Drosophila melanogaster: one gene and its partners. The protein of the gene in region 2 interacts with the protein of the main gene of each other region in a biochemical or structural test. Each region holds a gene or a part of one and is shown on either strand. Other genes may lie near its edges. The genes, in order: DIP-iota, dpr3 and DIP-eta.

The links.
Region 1: the proteins of dpr3 (region 2) and DIP-iota form a complex in vitro, tested with the Drosophila melanogaster proteins (one study listed by BioGRID).
Region 3: the proteins of dpr3 (region 2) and DIP-eta form a complex in vitro, tested with the Drosophila melanogaster proteins (one study listed by BioGRID).

Annotation. Positions count from the first base shown.
Region 1 is NT_033779.5:6,616,652-6,625,164, reverse strand, and holds DIP-iota (Dpr-interacting protein iota), read left to right. Parts: upstream 1-3,464; 5' UTR 3,465-3,654; coding exon 3,655-3,739; intron 3,740-5,718; exon of another isoform or gene 5,719-6,085; intron 6,086-6,746; coding exon 6,747-6,990; intron 6,991-7,049; coding exon 7,050-7,405; intron 7,406-7,458; coding exon 7,459-7,740; intron 7,741-7,800; coding exon 7,801-7,872; intron 7,873-7,933; coding exon 7,934-8,025; 3' UTR 8,026-8,031; downstream 8,032-8,513. Other genes in the region: CG34345 (uncharacterized protein), read right to left, coding at 57-115, 172-337, 398-442, 509-1,029, 1,084-1,280, 1,334-1,484, 1,607-1,761, 1,822-2,042.
Region 2 is NT_033779.5:2,106,077-2,114,589, forward strand, and holds the start of dpr3 (defective proboscis extension response 3), read right to left. Parts: upstream 3,803-8,513; 5' UTR 3,650-3,802; intron 1-3,649.
Region 3 is NT_033779.5:5,613,279-5,621,791, forward strand, and holds the start of DIP-eta (Dpr-interacting protein eta), read right to left. Parts: upstream 4,669-8,513; 5' UTR 4,377-4,668; intron 2,384-4,376; exon of another isoform or gene 1,952-2,383; intron 309-1,951; 5' UTR 217-308; coding exon 96-216; intron 1-95.

The DNA of each region.
Region 1 (8,513 bases), 4.5 Mb from region 2:
CAATAAAAGCTATCTGTGTAGATTTAGAAAAGTGAAATGTTTTTAAGTTTTATAGTTTACTTGTAGCAGGGCTTCTTGAACATCTGCTCGTAGTTCAACATGCTCTTGACTAGCACTAAAAAATGAATATTTTATTGTGATATTAATTTTAAGAACTGAGATATTACCAACCCCATCGGCTGCCTACAATTGTGGGACAAACGGCGTGCCTGGTCAGCAGATTTGGGTCACCATTATTGTGGAGGTTGTACCAAAAGAGGGCGGATCCCTTCTTTGGCTGAATAGCAAGTTGGGCGCCGGGAAAGATTGTGGTGCCACCCACTGGAACATCGGTCATCTGGAAGTGTTAAATTGGTTAAATAGTACATTTTCTATAGAGTGTTGGTTTTGAACTTACGTAGAACAAGAATGTCATTAATCGATCACCTTCCTCAGTCAGTTCCTAATAGTTGTGTATGATCTAGCGATATAATGAATAATATACACTTAAATGAATCAGGTTACTTGCCGGATAAAGCTTAATGTCCATGTAATCACTGTGTTCTTGGAAATAACCACCAAGTCCATAATTGATTCTGGCCAGTGTGGTGGTATTGCCCACATCCAGGCCAGATATGTCTGCCATACGATTTACCAACGTTTTGTCCAACTTTCCGCCATCGTCGTCGGTGACTTTAATGTGAAAGAGACGATTCACCCGATCTGGAGTCGTATAGTTTGTGGTGGTGCCCAGAATCATCTCCTCTCGGGTCACATTCGTCAACTGAGCTATCTCACTGTCATAGATCACGTCGTGATATAACCAGATAAGTGGGTCTCTGCTGATCTCCTCCTCCTTTAGAGGAGCTATTCGCATAAATGGAGTGGTGGTGCTATTATAGCGACACACTAGTTGAGGTCCTGGTGGAAACTTTCCCTGGCAGCCCTGTTCAATCATAGTGGGCGATTTCCTTGGCCTTAGATGCACCAATGAATTGTTCGGGTCTTGAGAAAGTTCCTTCAGACAGTCAGTTAAGTTTTCAACGGAACCTGATGGTAAATAATTATTTATAAACACCAATATTATTGCTTCTTTGAACTTGCCTTCTTGAAGCCGACTTATGACAAACATTTTTTCGAGCTCTTTTCGTTTTGGAGCATAGAACTTAAATGCAATATTATTTTTTGGTTTGGTGAAGACACTTAAAGCTATTCGATACCATTCAGCCGCACGTCTAAATTCTGATCGTTTGTACATATAGTCTGCTAAAGCCAAGCAGTCGGAAGCTGACATTCGCGAACTATAGAATTGTTATCATTATTATCTAATAGTGTTAAAACTAAGTTATCTTACCTTAGCTGTTGACCTGCCACAAGACCCTGGGCCATATCCGATGACTTCAGGTCGTAGAAGTGTTCTATTCTATCCATTCCCATTAGGGCCTCTTCCATATCATTTGCGTGGGGTGTACGATTGATTAGCTTATTCATTTCCTCGATGTCAACTGTAAAATATTTAAATAAACCAATAGCCTGTTGTTTCATATTTAAGTGATAAAATACAAAAATGTACTTTTAGCTTCCCTTGAAATTGAGAAAACGTGCAAACATTGTATATAATCCACACCTTTTATATTTCCTTGATCCTTTAAGTAAGCAATCAACTTGGGCCAATCTTGATGAGCCCGCCTTAAAAGTCCAAAGGAATTTAGGGGATTGGACACATATTTATATCGATCCACCTTGTGATCCAAATAATTCGGAGTTAAAGAATTAATAAAACTATGTGAAAGTTAAAGTGTAATTCTAGTTTTAAGAGAGGAATTAAAATATATATCATACATTCTGAGAGTTTTGATTTTTTGTTGCAGAAAGCTAACATAGTTGTTTAAATGCTCCATATAGGAATTCTCAATCTCGCGAAGTTCAGACAGGGCTCGAATGGAATTTGAGTATATTACTTCCTGTACTACATCATTTTCGGCTTTCTTTGCTTTGCAAACTGTGAATAGGAATAATAAAATCCAGTTCAGCAGAATATAATGAAATGATCTTAGCAACATTCTGCTGCGAAAACTATATTTTTTCATTTCCTAACGAAGATACTACATTTTAAATTGATTTATATCGCTTATTCGTCAGGCCTATTTTAAATGCTGCGGTGATTGATACACTTAAGTTACACATATACACTGTTTGTATATTTAGCTTAATATAATTTAGTATTTCCCTAACAAGCCTCATAGAACATATTTCATGAGTGATTCTTGTTTCAAAAAATAGTTGTAAATTCGCTTACTTCTTTTAACAGCGCTACACAACACTATAACTTTTAGCAAAGTTATACACCGCCATAATTTTATTGTTAGGTAACATCGGAGTTGTAAACCATTTCTGTTTGCTTTTTCGAAATTTGATTTCGAGTTTCTACACAGTTAGCCAAGACACATACTTTTCATGTGTAAGTAAAAGTAAGGAAAGTTTATTTGAAAGGCTTTATTATACATCAAGCAGAAACAATTTGAAATTATCGGCAGTTTTTTAAATAAATAATTTTTAAATAATGAAAAAGTATGTTAAATCCACTAAACTAACAATTCTTGAATTTAAGTCTATTTTAAAAATATACATAACTAGTCAAGGCAATCTAATGTACGTATTGCCATTCAGATACTCTAAAACGTAAGTTTATTTTGCTGACTAATCAAATTATGAAACAAAGGTAGGATTTATCAATCACTTAGACTTCAAGATTGCATAAAAACACACTCAAATTTTAGCAAAATATTATTTAATTAAGACAGAGGCTCTGACTCAGAGGCCAGAATGAAGAAACGAAGAGAAACTTGCATGGGCCAGCAAAAGATGTGCCCCTAGGGAAAACAACAATCAAGCAAATTCCACGTGCTTATTATGATTATTGTTATCGCTATTGAAAAGCGCTAATTGTGCGCAAATAGCGGTGCGAACTTAATGCCAACTTACCGAGAAGCTCACACATGCAAACCAAGCCAGTTGGAAGTGCAAGCATCGCAGAAAAGCAGAGGAGCAGCAGCTGGAATCCGGAGGGATATGGGGGATACGGGTGAAAGTTGGGCAGAAGATGCGCGGCATTTCGGGGTTAATTAGAATGGTATTGGAGTTGGCCTTTATTCTCCGCCGCCCACAAAAAAATCACCAATAATGTGTCACTTTCCCCCGGCAACATGTCGTATACTTCATATCGTCACGTGCATATGAAAATATTACGTCGGGCGGTTTATGAATGAAACATTTACTATTGCACAGCACCGTCTTTCGGCTGCCGGGCACCTTGACTACTACTGGGCTACAACCATACCCACTAGACACACTAGAACCACCCAACCACCACCCACTACCTTCGCAAGGCCGCAGGACACATGCGCAACGCCAGTGCCGCATTTGAATTTTGAATATGAGTTTTGACACTTGATTATCAGTTCGCGACCAGTTGTACGGGTGTGCGGACGTTTGGCCACGGCAATCGGCGGAAAAAACTTCATCCGCAGAAGCGGAAAAAATACATTTGCGCTGTTGCGGCGGAAGTTGAACTTCGGCCATTTGGGCAGTGAAAGTGGCAGAGTTAAAAATTAAAGTGGGAAATCAGCAAATATTCAAAAGTTTCGCACCTTGATTGCGGTTGAGTTTTCGGCTATGGGAAGGCGATTGCCCAGCTTTTGGCTGCTGCTCCTGCAGAGCGTGTGTTTCAGCCAGGCCAGCTTTTCGGAGCTAAACAATTGTAAGTGGATCGAGGATGTGATTAACTAAAGGATAAATAAATCTGATTGCTAATAATGAAATTAGTCAGAAATATAAGATTTACTTTGAATGAAATGCATAACCCATTAAATATTAAATTAAACATTTTAAGGATAGTTTTTCTCGATTAATATGACGTTTTTTGAATGTTGTACAATTAAAAAGTATCCTGTTTACAAGCTGAACTTTTGTAACCCGCCAACACGAAATGATGAACCCAAAAGTGTACAGCTAATTGACTGCAAACTATCTAAAGCCGGAGTGGTAGCGTATAAAATGGAAGGTAGCTGGTAATCGGAAGTCCAACGAGTCCATAAGTGAATAAACTGTGGCCAACATATTCCCCAGACGGGACAGACAGGATGGCGGTGATAGGGAAAGGGAGCGGGCAGAGGGGTTTCCGGTGGAGAGCTGCGAAAGAGTAACGAGGGGTAACTTCCGCTGGGGAAAATGTGCGCCGAATAAAAAAAACAAAACAAATTTTCCTTGACTTTGGCGAGCCAAATGCGATAAATATATCAAAATTCGACAAAATTCGCATTTAAATCAATGTGCCAGATGCAAAGTAAACATAAATATTGGCAGGCTAGCCGCAGCGTGCGATAAGAAAGTGAGAAGTGGCTCAAAGGAGTGATGATGCACCGCACCGCACGATGTTCCGTGCCAACCAACCAACTCCCACCACCCACCACCCACCGCACAGCGGGCAGGCAGACAGACAGTCGCGGAAAGGCGACGTTTTCCCACTTCCTATTGCACTCTGCGATATTTTCGTTTCATTTTTTTTTCTATTCCTGGCCGGCGGTTTCTGCCGCTGAAGTGCCGCGTTTTTCGGTTGGCGGTTGCGGGTGTGGAACTGCCACTGCAGTGGGTTATTTCGCAGTTTTTACTTAACTTTTTGGCAGACATTGCGTGCTGATTGTGATTGTGATTCCTTTCGCCGGCAGACAGCTGGAGTGTCTAACAGGAGACAGGACATTCACTTTCCGTTTCAAGTTCAAGTGGCGTGGGGAAAGGACACGGCCGGATTTGCAGCGACTTCGCGGGGAAAATGCGGCTTAAGTCCTGGCCGAGCGATTCAAGCGATTCCAGCGATACAAGTCGTGCAAGAAAACAGGAAAATATATTTAACAACTCATAGTCAATTTCCCCTTATAAAATGTGGCAACAACAAAGGCGGTGCGGTGGCGAAAAAGTTAAATGCTAAATTACGCTACCTTGCAGACATAAATAAAAGAAGAAAAGTTTAACTATATGAACACACATGTATGAGTACACTCAGAATAATTTCAAAAGTAGAAATCAAAAGTAAGATATTATACATAATTACTTACCTTGTAGTTTTGTTAGCGTTTTATGTTCATTGCTCCTTTATGCATAAAAAATCTAATCAAAATCTGTTGATGCAAATATATTATTGAAATTTTTGTTTTTTTTATATTAGTTCTTTAGCTTATTATACTTTTATTTCCAGTGCAAAGTACGTTTGTGTTTTATGGCTTAAAAAGTCTCGCTCGTCCCTTTCTTCGGAATGTTTCAATATGCAAACATGCAATAACCAAATTGCAATACCAACAAAAACAGAAACCATATCAACTGAAGGCAGTCAAACAATGGCGCCTCGTTCCCCACACTCAGAGCAACTGAAGGCGGAGCCTTCGGACTCGGACTCCAAAAAAAAAGCGCCCAACTTGCGGCCAGACCCAAACATAATCGCAAATTATAGGCTCTATGGCATGGCATCCGTAGGCTACCCAATTTGATGCTAGTTTGGTGGATACCCCCCCCACACAACGCAATCAATTCGTGGTGGATGGGGGGGGTATACATAAAGGTGTAGCACAGCTTTTTACAATTTTCCAGGTACCAGCACCTGCTGCCCCCCAACCAACACACACACACATACCGCGCTCTATTAGATTTTTGCATTTTTTCGGGTTATTATTTGGTCATAATTGTAATTTAGGCGTTTGCTGGAACAGGAACAGTAGCTGGAACTGGATTCCTCGTCTCCTGGCCACAGAGTCGTGCTACTTGTTAGGCATGTGATGTGATTTCTTCCATTACTCCTGCCTCCAGCCCATTGTTGTGTTTGCGATGGTGTGGGTGGGTTCGGTTTGCGGTTGGAACTCTGGTGGTTAGATTGGCTGACGGCAACTGTCGAAGTCCTGCGGTCGGGCACCTTGACTCAAAATTATTGCGATGGGACTCGAGTTGGCCGAAGCAACAACACGCCGGAAAGCAGTAGTTTGAGTTCATAGTGTGTGAACCCAACGTGTTTATGCTATTATTTACGATAAAATCAAAACATAACTATCCCGCTGTTCAATATTATGTATGTACAATACATGAGGTACTATTTTTGAGTAAAAGTGCTCAGAAAAGAATCCATAACCAAATCATAGGTTTAAGATGATGTTCAAAACTATTGTTTCTATATATATATAATATAATCAACATATTTTACTGATTCAAAAATAGCTTCGTTTTGCTAGTTTTACAATTTGTTAGTGTTGAAGCTACTCTATTTTGCCAGAATGTAGCTGACATCTATAATTTATCTAATTATTGGATTATCTGCCGCTGTCTCGGCCTAATGTTAACCTCAAGAAATTTATGGCCGTTAAACAATTTTAAATATCGTTGACCATTTCGGCGGGCCATCTGGCAACAAACTTGGCCTAGTCTGCGTTGACATTCTGCAGAGACACGCAAAAATGTGCGAGGATAAGAAATGAAATAATTATCCTGATAATTGTGGATTAGAAAAGCTGCACATAAAAAAAGGTTATTTTTTAATTGAATTAAATGTTTGGCGTCTGAGTTCCATTAAAATACAGCAAATGCCAGTGCCTCACATTTGCAAGCCCCATAAACCACCCCAAAAGCCACCCAGCAGTTGTATATCGTCGCCCCATTTAGCGCCCTAATGATGAAAGCCATAAATGCCAAACCATTGGGCTTGGTGCCACCATCTTCCTTTGCAGCGGATCCCAAGTTCAGCGGTCCAATCAACAACTCAACAGTTCCCGTGGGACGGGATGCCCTACTCACGTGTGTTGTCCACGACCTGGTTAGCTTCAAGGTGGCCTGGCTGCGAGTGGACACGCAGACGATACTGAGCATCCAGAACCACGTCATCACCAAGAACCATCGCATCTCCATCTCCCACACGGAGCATCGGATCTGGCAGCTAAAAATACGCGATGTTCAGGAATCGGATCGCGGATGGTGAGTGAAAGTATCTATCAGATAGATGGACCATATTCTTCTACTAGCGTTTACCGTAGGTACATGTGCCAAATCAACACGGATCCCATGAAGAGCCAAATGGGCTACCTGGATGTGGTGGTGCCGCCAGACATTGTAGACTATCAAACCAGTCAGGATGTGGTTCGTTCCACGGGACAGAACGTAACACTCACTTGCAGTGCAACGGGAGTGCCCATGCCCACCATCACCTGGCGTCGCGAGGAAGCGACTCCGATACTGATTTCAGACGACGGCGATCGGGAAGTGTTCAGCGTGGAGGGTCAGAATCTCACCCTGTGGCAGGTGCAGCGCTCCCACATGGGCGCCTATCTCTGCATCGCCTCCAACGGAGTGCCACCCACAGTGAGCAAACGCGTCATGCTGGTGGTGAATTGTATGTGTGAACAAAGAGTTGGATTCAATATATAATACTGAGTTATCTTTCAGTTGCGCCCACGATCTGGACACGCTACGATACCATCTACGTGGGCCTGGGCCAGAAGCTGACGCTGGAGTGCATCACAGAATCGCAGCCGGCATCGGTGAACTTCTGGCTGAGGGATTCGCAATTGCTGCAAGGAGGTTCCTACGAGTCGGTCTCAGTGGACCACGTCTTCCGGATCGTGATGCGGATCACCCTGCGTCCAATAACGAAAAGAGATTTCGGAGAGTACATATGCAGGGCAAAGAATGCGATGGGTCAGACAGATCGGATTATAACCGTGCACCGTAAGTGAGATTATATTTCGGTTACTTAATCCCTTAGATGTAACAAATGTTGACCACCAGATAAGGCCAAGAAGCATGGACAGCACTCGCATCAAACTTCCTCCCGCGAAAGTCAGTTCATTGTCATCGAAGGTTTGTTTGTTCTACAATAAATAGAGTCGCGATAAAGATAACTAGCTAAATCTTATTGCAGAATACATCGCAAATATGTCTGATAAGAGCTGCAGTTTCCAACCGCTTTGGATAATGTTTCTATGTTTCGTCAATAAAGTGTCACTTTTGTGAGCAATCAAACAATGTGTGCTTTGTCTTTTGGCCACGTCTAATGAGTGACTTCATCTTTATATTGCCTAATTCACAATGTTATATTAATAATAATTTTGGTGACAATTGTTCGATTCAAGGGTAAAAGTAACGCACGTGTGAGCAAACTATTAAAAAAAAATCAATTAATTTGATTTTGATTCTGATCTTTTGTTTTGATTTTTACGTTCGGTTGACTGAATAAAATTGCTTTAGGACAACATTTACAATAATTTTTTTCTAAATAGTCTACAATTCGTTTAAGTTATTTACAATTGGATTCCTTAGTCAGATCAATTGAATATATCGATAGAATTCGATCCGCAACTTTACGCTTAACTTAGAGGAAATCGAACTAAGGAGACGTGTTCAACAGGTGTGTTAATATTTAAACATTAATATTTAGCTACTTCCCATCGGTTGCATCTGTTCCGTTTCTTTCGCAATAAATTAGTGAGTTAAGAATTAGA
Region 2 (8,513 bases):
AATGTATCGCCCATCTGAATCTTTTTTTGTCGTTTTGATAAATTTATTTTCACAGATTTCAGACTCGATATCATCTTTTTCTTCTTCTTCCACTTCCCAGTAGCGATCTAACTCTTTTATTTCTATTGCTGTGGCTACAATGGTTTCTTTTCCTTTGGATTTTTTACATCCAGAAACTATCCACCCGAAATCAGTTTTTTGCCCAAGGAGACCGTCTATTTTTATAACTCCATTTTGCAGAATGTGAGTATATACGTTTGCTCCAATGATTAAATCAATGCGACCCGGTTTATTAAAATCGGGGTCGGCTAATTTAAAGTTCTTCCATTTTTTCTGATCAACATTAATCGTGTTGACTGGAAGTGCCTTCATAAGTTTTGGGAGAATAATTGCTTCAATTTCTAAATTTTTCGGAGAATTTCTTATCGAAATAACCGCTTTGTGCTTGGAGATGCACGTTCCTGTGGAAGATACTCCACTTATTTCAGTATGAGACCGAAATTTTTTCAATTTTAGAATCTGTGCAGACTCTTCTGAAATAATTGTGCTTTGAGAGCCACTATCAATCAATGCTCTTAATTGTTCAAAGCCTCCATACCTCGACTTTACTTGAATCAAGGCCGTGGCCAACAAGGCTTGACCTGTTGTTCTACACGTATTCACTTTTTCTGGATTATGACCTGCAAAGTGAAGTAACGTGTGGTGAGGTTTACGACAAGTCGAACAAAGCTGCTCGCTTATACATTTTTTACCAAACGGATGCCTCAGACATCTTAGGCAAATCCCATTTTTTCTTACCCAGTCAGACCGTTCTGCTGGATTCATTATTTTAAATTTATGGCATTGAATTAAATAATGCCCTGGTAGTTTGCAATATGCACAATTGTCACTATAATTTTTATTCTTGTTATTATTAATCATTTTCTTTACAGGTTTTACTTCCTGTGAGAATGATGATATAGAATTGAGCCTTTGCTCTAAAAAGTCCATGACATCAGAAAGTGCCTGTATTTCTTTTGTCTTTTTAACATGGCTTTCATATAAATTGAGTGATTCTTTATTGAATTTCCGAAGAATTATGTGAGCGAAAATTGCATCCACATCTTCTGGTAATTGTGCCTTTAATTTTATAATATAAATTGACTCGTTAATCGTGTCAATAAATGTCTTTATTTGCTTATTGGATTCTAAATTTAAATTTGGCATATCCATAAGCCTATTCATATGATCTGAGAATATGTTTCTTTTATTCTCATATCGCTTGGTCAAAAACTCCCAAGTGGCTTCATAATTTTCTCCAGAGCCGAGCAGTAAATGAGTAACCACATTTCTGGCTTCTCCTTTTAATGCTGACTTTAGATAATTAAATTTGAGAGAAGGACTGAGATCCTCTCTCACATGTATGAGCTCTGTAAAGAGTTCATTAAAAAGATCCCATTCTTTGGAATCACCAAAGAAGGTGGGAATCTGTATTTTAGGCAGGGTTGGTAACTCCTCCGCCTTAACAACCGTCGACATTTCAGCTTTATTTATTGTGCCACTGAGTCGACTATTAATGGCTGTAAGAATATTTTGTTTGTCAAATTCAAGTTCGCTAATTTCTTCTTCGAATAGCGAACTCTCAAAATGACTATTCACCTGTTCAATCAGGTTATCTATTTTATGCCATAAAAATTCAATTTTATTTTTCCTTATTTTAAGGAAATCTGGACTACTGTCTATTAGTTTAGACGTATCTTCTAGATATACTCGAAATTGGCCAACATTATTACGAAATGCCTGCTCTACTTTTAAAGCGTTGTTTTGTGCTATACCCTCTTTTTCAGGGTGACCACGCATTTCAAGGTTTAATGTAGGGGGAGGGTTTGATTTAGGGACAGTGTTTGATTTAGGGAAAGTGTTTTCTACCGACTCGCCCTTAATTTTTTCATTTTTATTTTTAATTTTTTCTAACACCATCATTATTAAATCATACTGCTTCGCGTTAAAATATTCATGATCGACAACGCCGATCTTTAACAAATTGCTATGATTAGCAATGAAACATTTTTGAAGCTCATTTAATTTTAGAATTTCTACATCTGTTAATGTTGGTTTTACTTCCAACTTTCTAATTTCCAAAATAATTTCGGACTGCTTCTTAAGGAATTGAATAGTCTTTTCTGACATCATTTTGAAAATTTTTTGTAATTTCTTAATATATATAGTACGTGTATATGTATTTTATATGTATTTATATATATATGTGTGTTTGGATAAACAGAAAATTCTTGTTTTGACTTAGCTGATGTCGTTGTTGTTGCTGCTGCTGTTGCTGCTGTTGTTGCTGCTGTTGCTACTGCTGTTGCTGCTTCTGCTGCTGCTGTTGTTGCTGCTTCTGCTGCTGGTAGAGGCTCCTTTGAATTTGACTTCCTTCTCTTCTTTAAGGCTCCGTCGATGTTTAAAGATGATTTTTTTTTTTTTTTTGGCACGTTTTATTATTTTTGTAGTCCAGTCAGATTTTTTGTTTTTTAGCCATTTATTTCGGCATTTATGCTCTTTTGGCATATACACTGCGCTCTATTTATGAGCTGATTTAATGCTATTAGAGCATTTATAAGGCACTGTTTTCAGGCACTTTTTATTTAATTTATGCTCTTATGGCATATACACTGCACTCTATTTATGAGCTGATTTAATGCTATTAGAGCATTTATAAGGCACTTTTGTTATGCACTTTTTAATTTCACAATTGCTGATGTATGGCCTCAAGCACGCCTTACCACAATTTATAATGGTACACAAAGCAACCTTTAGCTATAGACTATAAGGTGCTTGTTTTAAAACATAAAAGATTCTTTTGTATCTTTTGCTTTTTATATTTATACTCTGTTCCTTACCTTTGGTAGGGGGAAACAAGAGTCACTTATTTTTGCTACCTTTAGCTGTAAGATGCTTAAAGGAGCTGGCCTTTCTCTGAGTTCCTTACCTTTGGTAGGGGGAAACTGCAGAGTCGATTAAAGGCTCGATTGACCAAATGTAAAATCCCAAATAAGAAGACTTTACTCGTTGAGTTTTTGTAAGAAAACTGATTTTATTTGGAAATATCTTCGGTTTAAATAGGTGACATGAGAATCGCATCTTAAAGTAAATGGCCTACGCAGAGGCCTACGTAAATAGTCCCCGCCTTATCGAGGTCCCACGCTCGGGCACATCTGCCTATCTTGAGCGGCGAGGACCTTATCTGTGGTCTCCCACTAAGGGACTATTTTAGGAGGCGGGGAACGATCTCAAGTGACTGACTCATGTAGTGTGCACTTAAATTACATGTTTTTGAGCAATGCACCCATGTCGCCTTAGATAACAAAATCCTAAATATAATTTATCGCTCTCGATTCATTTACATAAGATATGAACGGAGCCCAAAATTGTAAGTCTTTAAATATATTCGTGTTCATGTGTGAACAGCCATTGATTGGCGAAAGGAGCGGGAAATGTTCCACACAATGTTTGGCGGGTGCGATGTGTCCACAGCCACCGCACAACATCGCACAATTGATGACAATCGACACTGTTCATGAATATTTAAATTTCTATTGTTGTTTCCCACTTTTCACTCCACGGGGCCATTGAAAAGTCCGCTTTCCGGCGAATCTCCTCGTTAACGCACTTCAAAATTACGCCTTTCCTTGGGTCGCCGGAAAAGTCGGAAAACACGGGAAACTCGAAAAACTCGAAAAACCGCCTAACCCACTCGATTTACCGTTGTGCGCGAAAAGGACTCGAGGTCGCGAGTGTGTGGCACTTCCGCAGCCCCTGGTTGCCGTCACAATACTGAGATCGGCGGCATGAACTACGGCGGCTACAGGCAAAGGCGAAGGTAAAAGCGAAGGCTTCCGAGGCACGTAAAAAAAAAGTTCAAAACCGACTAGGACAACAACGCGAACAGGACACTCACACGCAGGCAATCAGCCGCACACGCACACAGTCACGAGTCGGAAAAGCTTGTAAGGACCACAATTCGCCGCACTCCGAATGTGTGTTAAAGCTTCGTGAAATCCTGGGGAAATAATATCCCGCAAATATCCTTGCAGCGCAATGTGAAATGTGGGAATGGGCATTAATAAACTAAATAAATTTTAAAAATAATCATAATAAATTTAGAAAAAATATATTTAATTTTTACCTAAAAGTAAGTGCCCTAAAAGTATTATTTTTTATATCTTTAATTTTAAATATTTATATTTGGCTTAGATAATATTTTCAAAAAATTAAGAGACTTATTACCAATTTTCATACTATTTGGTCTTGCATATTCTTCCCCTGCTTTAAGTAGAAAGCAGTCTGCACTGCTTTTTAGTTTAAGTAGAATGATATATTTTTCCATAGACCATAGTCAAAAAATCTTTTAGCTGCTAAATAAATCCTACGTGTGGTAAATGCTCCTGTTTACAGTTGAAACAAAAATCCTTTCCTGCACTGCTTCCAAGGACACCCGGTCTAAAATGCCCTTACATTAGTCTAAAAATATCCTTCTTGAGATATGACTGCTTTTTAACTTCCAAATATATCCCATAAGCATGTTTACTGCTTTTCATGAACCTCTTGTTCTAAAAAGTCCATTAGGACATAAACTGCTTCTTTGTTGAGCGATAAAATCCCTTTATTCAGTGCATAAAGTTACCCCTTCAGTTTTCGCTTTATTTGAAGAAACATTTCCCCAGGCTGTTGAAACTTTTGAGAAATTGCCATATTTTGAATAGAAGTCAGTTTGCAAAATATATAAGACACTTAATGTTTCAAGTTATGAGATTATAATTTTAAGTTTAGCTTCACACTCTATAATATTTCTACAAACGCTATTAGCTTTTTAAATTCATTTTAATCCAAGTATTATGGATAATAAATAATTAAATAATAATAAATAATTAATAACCGCGAATTTTCAATGAACTTGTTATGAATTTCCTAATACCAATATATCAGCTATCCACACATAATAGGCCTAAGCTGCTCTTAATAATTTATAATCGATTGCATTTGGAGCTTAATCAATTTAAGCCACCAATTTGCAGACACCTCCTCTCGTTTACACCCAACCCCACCCCACCCCACATTCCATTGACATTTAACGTTCGTCAGAGTGAAAGCCGCCGTCTATCTATTGGCTTCCTTTTGCCCCTCACTTTCACTCAAGGTGAACTCAATTGAACATTTGCACATCAATTATTTCACAAGCAGCCAGTTTTTTTTTTCTGGGGCGTGGGAAAAAAACACGCAGCGCAGCCGGAAAAAATGAAAATAAATCCAAGCGTGGAAAAATCAGTCGGGCTGAAACTGCATTGCTCCTGCAGATCCTTTGCTGCCTTCACCTGCGGCTATCCTTTTTTTTTCTAGCCACCCGCATTGCAGATTCAATGTCAAAAATTTGACAAACTCAACAAGAAGCGAAAAGAAAAACAAAAAACGGAACAAAAACACAGCAGCTGAGAGAATTTTCCCAGGGATTTTCGCTGACGAATTTGTGGCAGGTTCATAAATCCAAACAAGCAACAACTAACTAACAAGAAGAAGCAGTAGAAGACTGGCGTCAAGAACAAGAGGCATTAAAAAATCAGGAAAACCCGAAAAATATTGCACAGCAAAAAGCCATCAAAACTTCAAAGTATTTTTATTGACTTATAATTTTTTAAGACCCAAAATACAACACAAGTATTTTTCCAGCTTAATGATAATGTTTGTTTTTATGGATCCTTTATAGTTTATTTCTCCTGCATACCCAATGTATTTTTAGTTAATTTTAGTTTTCGCATCGGTGTTGGACAAATTTGTGGTTTTTTTGGCGGCAAAATAGAGGAGTGGAGCTGGAAAAGCGAAAAAAAATGCCATACAAATCGAGAACTCGACACAAAAGTCGCTCTCAAAATTTATTCAGTCAGCGTCGAAGTTCATTTGAGTGTCATAAATCAGTTGGCCCCAGCAGAACCAGCGCCACCCACCCAGAACCACCCACGCCGTGGGAAAGTTGGAAAATGTGTGAGGCTGTTGGGTTGAACATGGATGGTGGAGGGAGGGGAGGGCGCTGGAAAGGAGGCAGGAGCATATATATAAAAGTTAACGCAAGTTCCACTTGCATCAGGGTTCTCGGCACTCGCTGCCGCATACCTCACCTTGATATGACAACCAACATGCTGTGGTTCTCCAAATAATAGTCAAGATAGTTAAGAGGGTTCGAGTTTACGATTAGCTTTATTTTAAGATTCAGTTCGCGATCTGCTAGCGGTTCCGTTATGTGTCCGTTCGACACTGGGGCCTCTTCTCCCGCCCCGCTGCTTTTATATCCGCTTCCCCCGTTGACCCCTCACCCTGAGTGCGACCAACGGCACTTGTTCCGAATGCACACATACACAAACATGTTCCTAGACAGGCCCCGAGTCGCCTGCTGACGGGGCCCGAAAACACGAGAGCCGAGCGCTGGTGAGTCCTGACGAAGATCGCAAGAAGAGGGTTCGTAACTTACACGAACATGTTACTAGACAGGCCCCGAGTCGCCTGCTGACGGGGCCCGAAAACACGAGAGCCGAGCGCTGGTGAGTCCTGACGAAGAGCGCAAGAAGAGGGTTCTTAACTCCTCCCCCCTCAAGATCTGCGTCCCGCAGATTAGTGAGCCTTGTTCAGCTCGGTTTGGCCCAATGCTTCTAAGTTTGCGGCAATCTCGCGGACATCGGGCATGCCTTTGGTGGACATCAGCTTCTTCCATAGGAAATAAAAGCCTAGGAATATGCAGATTGCGAGTGCCGCCTCGGTGAGAAGAGAGGCTAGTAGCTCACTCGCCATGTTGGACATCTTTTCCAAATTCTTCATGCTCACGTCGTGGACGTATTCCAGAGAAAGTTGAAAGTTGCTGGCCGTTATGTGGCTCAACACGGCCGGCATCGCCATTAGATGACTGACCGAGTAACTGGAATAGTTTTGACCGTTGACCATTATCGTCTCATTGTCGAATTGGATGATAAAGGAGCCGATCAGGTCGTAGTTCTCTGCAGCCGTTCTTAGAGTTCCGTTGAAGTTGGTCAGGAGGAGCATTCCATCGTCGACTTGCTTAACCACTCGTTGGTTACTTCAGTAGCCGAGGGATACAGCTAGCCTCCTCCAGTTTTTGCAGTTCCTCGAAGCCGTCGCTTGCGCGGCCAAGACGGCGTTCCAATCAGCAGCATCTGGAGATCCAGCTACCCATTTCCAAGCCGACCCCAGCCAGTCCAGTGAGCGGGATTTGCGCCGCATGCAGAAATCGCGCTTACAAAAAGACAATTCGTAAATATCTGGTCGTCTAAGTTGTTCTAAGACTACGTAGTGTGTGGGGGTACGGTACATTTTGTGTACTTATATTTTTATTTTTTTATATTTCTTATTTCTTATTTCTTATAATCTGTATTTTTTTATATTATTTTTTTTATAGTTTTTTTTGTATTTCTTTTTGTATTTCTTAACTCATTTTTTTTTTTTTTTTTTTTTTTTTTTTTTTTTATTAATGTTTTTTTTATATAGGGTATGCATGGGTGGAATATTTCATTAGCTGCCACAACGTACTTTTATTACTTTCGTTATTCTTTTTCGCGTTTCTTTTTTAAATGTGAAAGCCACGTCTCAATTTCTTAGATCAGATTTGTGGAAAATTTTTCCTGATCTGGTTTTAACTGTTACCTTGTTGTCTTCCTGTACCTTTTCGCATCTGAACCTCGCTTTTTCCTTTGTTTTTATTTGCTTATTTGCAACAAAAACTTCATCTCCCGGCCCATAAGACTTTGGCTCGTCCCTATTTTTATTCCGAGCCATATTACCTCTAATTTGCTTATACTCAATTAAGCCCTTGATGTCCTCTAAAGTCTGCCGCCGGAAATCTGTCAGACCCTGATAGTTTACCCTTGACGAGCGGTCGAAAAAAACGTCTGCTGGTTTTCGATTCGTTACCGAGTGAACGGAAGTGTTGTAGCGGTCCACTGCTATGTGTACCAGCTCAACGGGTTTGAAGGTAGGGAGCTCATCTTTAAGGCAACGATAAATTTCTAGGAACGTAGAGTGGAATCTCTCGACTTGACCATTTACTTCGCTCTTCTGGGTTGGAGCATAATACAGATCGATATCTAGAGACCGAAGATAGTTGAGCACTGTGGGGCATAACAACCCTCGCTCGTTATCCGAAACCAAGACCTTAGGGGCGGTGAAGTAATGTAGGGCCTCCACCAAAGTTTCTCGCAAATGCACAGATGCTTTTGACTGCAGATGGAAAAGTTTGGCAAACTTGCTAAATTTGTCAATACAACTTAGGTATAACCTTTTTTCGAGCGCAAAAATGTCGATGTGAAGTATTTCACATGGGTAGTTAGGAATTGGCGTAGGTTGTAGGTTTGGTTTGTTAGGGTGTCTCTCGTACTTGTAGAGTTTGCAACACTGACATGAGGAAGTTTGCAGACGGATCGTACTGGACATTCGCGGGAAATAATATTTTTCTAAAAGTTGGAGACGAATCTCCG
Region 3 (8,513 bases), 3.5 Mb from region 2:
ATCAAATCAGTTTGGCTGATAAATGTTTCAATTAGAAACATCAATAGTTAACATTTACCATTTGTTGAATGACTTTAAAATAAGTAGGGACTTACCTATTACTTCAGCTGGCACCTCTACTCTCTGAGGATAACATTGTTGACTCATGAGGATTAGGAGCAGAATAACACTTAACGCACAGGTTTGTTTACGGCATTGACAGAAGTTTGATTGCATTTTGAATATATGGGCTTTACTTTCTTTGATTGAGTTGATTAATGACCGGAAACCATTAAGTAGTCGTATCGGATATGTCCTTTAAAGCTAGTCTAAGGAATCATGTAAAATAGAAACATTATATACACATGGAATAGAAGTTATGTATCAAAGGATATGTATACATTTTGGAAATCATGTGGTATAAAAGAGAAACCATAAGTGCAGATCCTGCCAACTAATCCCCATCACCTGTAACCGCTTCAAAATATGAAGGAGGAGGAGGAGAAGGGGTCGAGTGGGCAATATCCGCGCGCCTCGTAATTGGCAGTCATTAGCGCGCCTCTAATGGCATCAACTTCTGGCCATTGCTGTTGCTATTTATGCGTGTAAACAGGCAACAGGGCAAAGTTCAACAAAAAGTACTTGAAAACAGAATCAAAACTACGAAACAATGGCAAACAATAATCGCGATGCCGGTTGAAAATACGCCAAATTAAAAGTTTCAAGTTTAAATCCGAGCCGGAGGGCCAACGGCCTTCCTCTCCGGACGTATCCTGTGCCCTCCCCCCGGGGGCCCAGTTCAGCATATTTCCTTCTCCGGCCGGAGAACAGTGCTCTTGGCTTATTTTGCGTGTTTGGACTGTGTAAATTGTGCAGGCGAACAGCTGCCAGAAATTAACTACCAACCTGCAACTATCTTTTGGAAAAGGTGTTGCATGCTCTGCCTCTCTGCTCATTTCATTTTAGACTCGTTCTCCGTTTTGTTTCACGGCTCTTAAACGTGGCCGGTGGGCAAACCTGTTTACGGAACGGAAATGAAATGTTTCGTTGGCAGCCGCAACGTTGTGAACTCGTAAATAAAGCATCAAATCGTGCATCTTTACGGACTTCTGATGGGTCTGAAATAGTTAGGCTTATGCCGGAGTTAAGTTCGGTTCACCTTTTCCATTTTAGAAGCCTGCCCAGGTGACATGAATGACACAACTTTTGCCGGCAAATGTTACCCAATGCAGTTGTAATCAGACTTTTGCGATAATTGTTTATTGGCCCATGAGCATGCATCACATGAGCTTTTCAAATAGTTATTGGATTGGTCAAAACCATTTGCTAGGTCTATAGTTAAGAGTCTCCAACCGATAATTGTCGTTTGAATTGATAGTTAAATTGCTGTTGTCTACAAAAATGCATAAAAATACATTAGAACTACCATTAAGATCTTTATTTAACGGAAATTTATAGTTAACAGGGAATTATTTTGTGTAAAAAAAAAAACAAAAGTATCTAAAATATCTAATAAAAGTTACTATCACTATGGGCCCGGTTACTCGCTAAGATTCGCTGGTCAAGTTCTGTCGATTACTTAAATTACTATTGATAAGCTGAGGTTGAACCCTATATTTCTGTTCAAACTATTTTTACGGAACACTTAAAACTAGTTCGGGGGCAATAATAGAAGGGTGCCTGCTGCCAGACGCAGATATCAATATGTTCGAAAGTCCGCCCTTATGATTGGGGAACCTTGATTAACTTTCCAGCTGACTCGGCCATGAGCCTGAACATGCAAACGATTTCGGGTTTTGGAAAAATAAAAGTCTACTTTCTGGCGGCCGCAAACTGACAGGAACCATTTTAAACTGACATTTCATTAAAATTCCTTGTCCCCTCCCTTCGAGTTCGTATTGATTTTTTCATAATTTAGCGGAATTGAAAGCAAAGTTGCCGGCATGTGTGCTATGTGTCCTTTGTCATACACACATACACACACACACCCATACACTCACACATTTAAATCCGCATTGCATGCCCAGAAAAGTAGACTACAAAAGACAACAGGCAAACGACAGCACTGCAAATGGTTACAGGGAGGGGGTGGCGGTTGGCCTGGAACGGCGGTAGGCACTAAAAATGTCTAGCAAATGGGCCTGGCAATATTATTAATAATTTAGAGCATGCGGGCCACGTCAGGAGTCGGACTCGGAGTCAGGGACAGGTGATGGCTTCAGGCTTCAGGCCCACGGCCTGACCACAATCCGAAGCCATATCGAGGCGATTGTGTCGAAAGTACCTTCCCGCTTCTGGTGGGCAGCTCTTGGATGTTTGGTGCCATTGGATATTGATGGCGATGTAGATCACTGATGTTTATTAATTATCACGAGTTAAAAGTTTTGCTTTTCTAAATTGGCACAACAGCCTACACTGACAAAATATCTTCATTCATTCAAGCATATATAATATATATTGTGTTTCACATTCTTCTGTAATTATATAAAATTGAAAATATTTTGTAATAAATAATGGAAAGTATTTAAACAAAGCGAAAATTCAATCGAGCAATGTGATGAATGCCTAAATTGACCACAAGCAATTTTCCAAGCAAATGTGTAATTTATTTCAATTTGGATGTTTCTAAATCCTTTTCCTGTACTTATTTTGTTACCAGCTTTAAGTACAACTTATGAAAAAGCAAAAAAAGAAAATATTTATGACAAATAATAAGAGGTGCTCATGGCACCTTTGTAGTGTTCAAGCCATATATTATTTTTATGGTTTCGGACATGCACGGTCCCTTTTTCTCCAACGCTTCAATGTGTATAATCAGCTGCTGAATTATGGCAAATTTTCAGTAACCCCCCCGACAGTTTGCTTGAAGCACCTTTTGCATTTTTCCCTTTAAAACAATAATGCTGACATGTAGAAGCTTCAACTGAAATGTCATTCGCTACTACTACCAGACTTCTCGAGCTATACTTTAAATTCAATTTCCAGCGCAAACATTAATTAACACGTGATAAATATCCCGCTCTATCGCGATGCCACTTCGACATTTTTCAGAATTATTCGCCGTCTAGCTTTTTAAATTTTTTTTAATCCGGCCCAGAAAAGGGCAGCCCAGTTAACCGGACCTTGCATAAAATTTGCATAACTCATAGTGTTCAGGCTGGCAGCGCCTTCTAGAAATCAGAGTTTCGCTCGGTTTTTCACAATTTTCTCCTCCGCTCGCTTTCCAGCACGGAAGTTGATTATTATCGCTTGTTATTAACAACAGCAACAACAATGGCAGGAAAAATCCAACTCCTCACATGCCGGCCATTATGTCAAGCCGACTGAACGACGAGGCCTTGCCAACCATTTCGTTATCGCTCCGGGGGCAATTGGAATTCTTCTTATGCAATTGATACCGGAGCAGGCGGGGGAATTCGGATTAAGGGGATTACGATTTCGCAGCAGAACAACAGGGTTTTCAATCTTGAGTCAACATGTTTTAATTTCCATAATATACATATATGTATACCACTCGGCCCCACCTGGAGCGTCAGTAGACAGTGCACATTCGGCTGTGGGCGCCAACTGAAATCACAATCGAGCAGATAACAACTGATCAGAAATTATATGTAAAATGCAAATGATAGAGAAACGCCATAAATCGAAAACAGGCACCATCATGCCACCCCGGGGGAAAACCACCGAATGTGGGTTGTACAGTGTACACTGTACACATATTATTTCCGGTTCGTCCCAAAAGCGCTGCAACATATTTGCAACAAATGGCTAGCCAGCTAGACAGCAAATTGGCATGAAGCGTCGAGGGTTTGTCCTGCGCTTTATGGATATCAATGAACTTTAAATTACACTCGGGCAGCCGTGAAACATAAAATATGCAATTGTTGCCCATGTGGCCTAAACAGTGCACTCCTGCCATACGGGGACACTCGTAATAAACAGCGTCGAGTGGCGCGCCAGACACATTCACATTTGTAGGCAAATTTCACGATACACACACACACACACACAGACACGCATGCAGCTGGAATGGCAAATCATGTGACGAGCATTGACCGCCGAGGGTGGCCCGATTGTTGTTGCTTCATAAATAACTCGGGCTTTGTTTTTACTTTAAATATAATTACAGCAAACACGCAGCTGACGGCAAATGTCGCCAAAATCGCGGCTAAATTGCCAACAAGCGGCTAAAAACGCGCGCGACTCAACACGCGAGCGAATTCTACTTGTTGTCGATTTGACCTGGCCGAAATCGCTGCCAAACTATTTTCGAATGCCTTCACTGGCCGCAATCACAGCCAGCGATTAGAAAAAGGATTCCTTGCTTTCTTTCAATAGTCTTGCATGCAGATTTTAATGGAAGTTCGCATTTAACTTAATAGCTGCAGCATAACAACCTTTTTCAGAGCATTTTCTTGGCAATCTTGTATTTTTCGTGAAACTCCAAATTGCACATGTCCTGCGGCTGAGCTGTCCTGATTTTTTTTTTTTTAAATCCTGTCGAGAAATTCGCTCAGCACAAGTCACTCATGGCGTCTACAGCATCACTTCGATTCACTTGCAGCACGAATGCAACACTTGGCGGCAAAAAACACACGCGATTCCGTTAGGGATTCTGCTTGCTTGTATGCAGCAGGATTCGAAGGACTAAAGGCCAACCGCACGAACCGAGCGCCGTCGATGTACTGAAGCCAGCATTTCCGAGGGCCACCAAAGTCGCGTGGAACGACTCCCAGCGACTGCCGAGCGATGCCGAAGATGCTCCTTTGGCGAATCGTCGTCGTTTTGGGGGGTTTTGGGGGGAGTGTGGGCGCCCCAGTGGGTGGGTGGTGTTTTTTAGTGGGCGCCCGGGGGGTGGGCAGCGGCCTCGCGAACGAATCAGACAACTGTGATTTTTGTTGTTGCTGGGCCACATTTTATTTTGCTTTTTGTTGGCGGGCGCTTTTCACTTCGTGGTGCTTCTTTTTTCCTAACATGCTCTGCGCGTGTGTGTGTGCGTGTGCTGCCCAATGGGGGGCGCGCTCTCGGCTCGGTTGAATACGAATTGAATGGCATTGAAAGCCTGGGAAATTCTCTCGCCATACTTTTGGGCGCGTGAAACTGGTGGCTCGCATTTATGAATGAAATCTGTGGCAAAGGAAAGGGTTAACCCTTTTTGGGTTGGGTGAAGGGATGGTGATGGTGAGAGGGGGTGCTGATAGTAAGTAACTGTGTGAGATGAAGAAATGAATTGTCATTGGTCGTGGCGCTTGAATATGAGAGAGGGAATTATCACTTGCAATTCTGACAACTGCAATAAGTACAACAGATTATTGCCATAGGAAAATACTATATATTTTGACTTGTAGGTAGAAGAAAATGGAATGGAAGCCATCTGCAAGATGATCTTTCGCTGTCTTCTATTTTGGATCTCTTTTACGGGATTCATTTAATATAAATCAATCATTATCAGAAAATTATGCTTTAAATTTAAGTATGTATTGATAAAAAACAATGTTTCAATGGTTCGCAAGAAATAGTTTCCATAAATTTAAAGACGTAACTAAGGCCAATCTTACATCTAACTGAAATCTGTTTGAAATTCTCAAACAAAAATTTTCTAACGATATAATTTGTAGTATATATGCAGAAACAAAGTTCTTTCCAACTAAGAATTGAAATAAAATTTTTAAAATTAAATTAGTGCTTTACTAGGCCGTCTTATTTATATAAAACGATATAACAAAGTCGTTCAGCATGAAATATTATTTAATAAAATTCGCCTGCATCGTTCCGAGTCAGTTTTGATTGTTATTAAATATATTAGTGCCCCCAATACTTTGAAATATGCAACTAAAAATTGACTGCGATCGATTCAAAAATGCTTCAAAGTCCGTTCGCTATGATACATTATTTAATTAAATTTCTTCTGCTTGGTGAAACTTTTCTTTGGAGATTTCCATTATGTGTGGCAAGTGCAACAAGCGAGGCAGGAAAGTCACCCACCCACACACGCACACCAGCCAGTCGCTTTTCAATAACCGTGCCACATTGTGTCAGGCACCGTTTTGACCTGGCCACCGCCCTCTGCAACTCTAAATTGCTCATATATACTTATATATATATATATATATTTCGGGAGCTAATCAACTCCCGCCCCCTTTCCCTATCGCGTCTTTATAACAGGCATATAATTTCGCACAACACACGCACACGACCAATAAATAATAGCGATGGAAACAGTAGAAACCCACCAATAACAGATTTTATGACGTATAAAAAGGATTTATAAAGCGTCCCTGGAAGGAACTATCTATCCCGCTCCATTTCTCCATCGAAAACTTTTCATTGCGTGCCAATGCACTGGAGCCACAAATCATTTTTACCAAAAGGGTTAGCTCTACACTCGAAGAAAGAAAGTTGATTATTTTAAATTAAAATCAAAGAGATTACATATTAGAATTATTCAAGAACAAATACACTTTAATGAAATATTACGTTATGTTCAACGATGGATTTATAAATTTGACTATTCAACTATTTGAACTATTTTCTCTCAGTATATAGGGACTGGGAGGACTAGCAACTTGTTTTCAAGTTTCTTGCTTTGTTTCCTTTGCCTTGCTTCCTGGCTGGTATCCTTTTACGAGCTTGCAAGCCCCTAATATAAATTTTGACACCTGATAATTGCTTTTCACTCGCTTCCGCGTTTTTCGCTGGATGCGACGACGACAGCTGCAGTTCTTTCACCTGCCACCCGGCGGACGAATCACCTGCGCGTCTGGAGCCACCACCCACCACATCGGGACATCTGCCCACTCCCACTGATGGGGGCTCGACATGCAAAGGTGGTGGGGAAGTTGGGGTCGATGGGGAGGATCTGCAGGATGGTTTGTTAGCTGCTTAACTGCCATAAATTATGACTATATTTTCGCTTTTACGGCGCCGTTTAATAGACAAAAGTTCTGGCTGAGTTATAGAAGGAAGCGTCAAGGTTGCCAACCGGCTTAGGAAATTGCCAATTAAAAGTCTATAAAAGTGTATAATTATATGGAAATATTCGGAAATTATTCGGATCGTGCGTCCAAAATAGAGACATCAATAGGGACGCTTACTTAAATATTACTACATTGTAATTGCACCCTGTAAACTTTTTACTTATATCTTATATGATATAGTTCTTGTAAGGGCATTGAATTGTCTTCTCCAAATTCTACCCATAAATATAGAGATACTTATACTCTTAATTTTATTTATTCTCTTTGCCACTTTAGGCATAATTTGCACTCTCTTATAATTGTTTATATTCCCCACACGCACTTAGACGACTCAATCTCCTATTGAAATCCAATGATTGGATCAGTTGATATTGTCGACAGTAATTGTGAAGTTGTTTCTTCCGGCCATCGGAAATTAAAAGCCATTTAATTTTTTTTTTGTGGCGAACAGGACAGTGATATAAAGTGAATTAAGTCCTTCGACCATTTTTAATACTTACTCAATAGTTATTGGGTGAGTAGGGATCAGTTATTATTGATACGACATATTTGTGTCGATATGAACCATTTAGTTAGCACATCATAGACCCTTCAATTCGACCACTGTTTCAAAATGTTTCAATATTTCTGAGTGCCGACTACTCGCTCCTTATCCCTGATTCATTTATTGATTAGTGCTGCTCATTATGCCGGCACTGAGTCTTCTGCTTGCCCACAACTAATCACCGAAATGCCCAAAATGTTGAGACTGTCCACTGCTGGCACTTGTCACAGTTTCTCCATCCGCACGAGTGTCTCTTGATTGTGTGGGCAGCTCTGGTCATAAATTTAATATGACACCTGCAGGACGCAGGAGTACACACCCCACCCCACACTCCCCACTCCCCACTCACCACTCCGCCCCTGCCAAATGCATTATTCACACATATTTTGCTAATTAGCAAAATATTGTAAATGTTTGGATTTATGCAGGCAACTCACACACACTCAAATGCATCGGTTGGGGGCTGTTGGCCTGTGGGCTGTGTGCTGCTGGCCATCGGAGAAGTGCATCAAACTGGACCGCAATGGCTTTTGGTCGGCTCACATGGCTGGCCAGCTCCCCATGCCATCCTCCTCCGACTCCTCCTTCTCCGCCTCCTCCCCCAGCTCCACCACCTGTGTCGCCTGTGTTGATTTAATGCCCATGGTGTCGGATTCTGGGATAACTGAGCAGTAGCCTTGGGTGGCGAACGGGATGGGGGTCTTTGCGGCTGCCATAAATTTTGGTTTGGCTTTCAATCGAGCGATTGGAGCGGGTGAGTTTAATTGAATATTCTGCTGACGGAACGGCAGGCTGCGTTGTTTATTCCCGCATCGAATCGTGTTTACATTAGGCGCGACTCGACTGGATCGACTTGCAATCGGACGCCGTCGCTGGGCAGGAGTATCAAATTCCTCTTGGTCACCTTCAGCTGAGTTGGCGATCCGGGCGGCAGGCTGAAGCGGAAGCGGCGGAGCAGCGTGATCAGGCCCACCTTCACCTGCATCCGTCCAAACCGCAGGCCAATGCAGTTG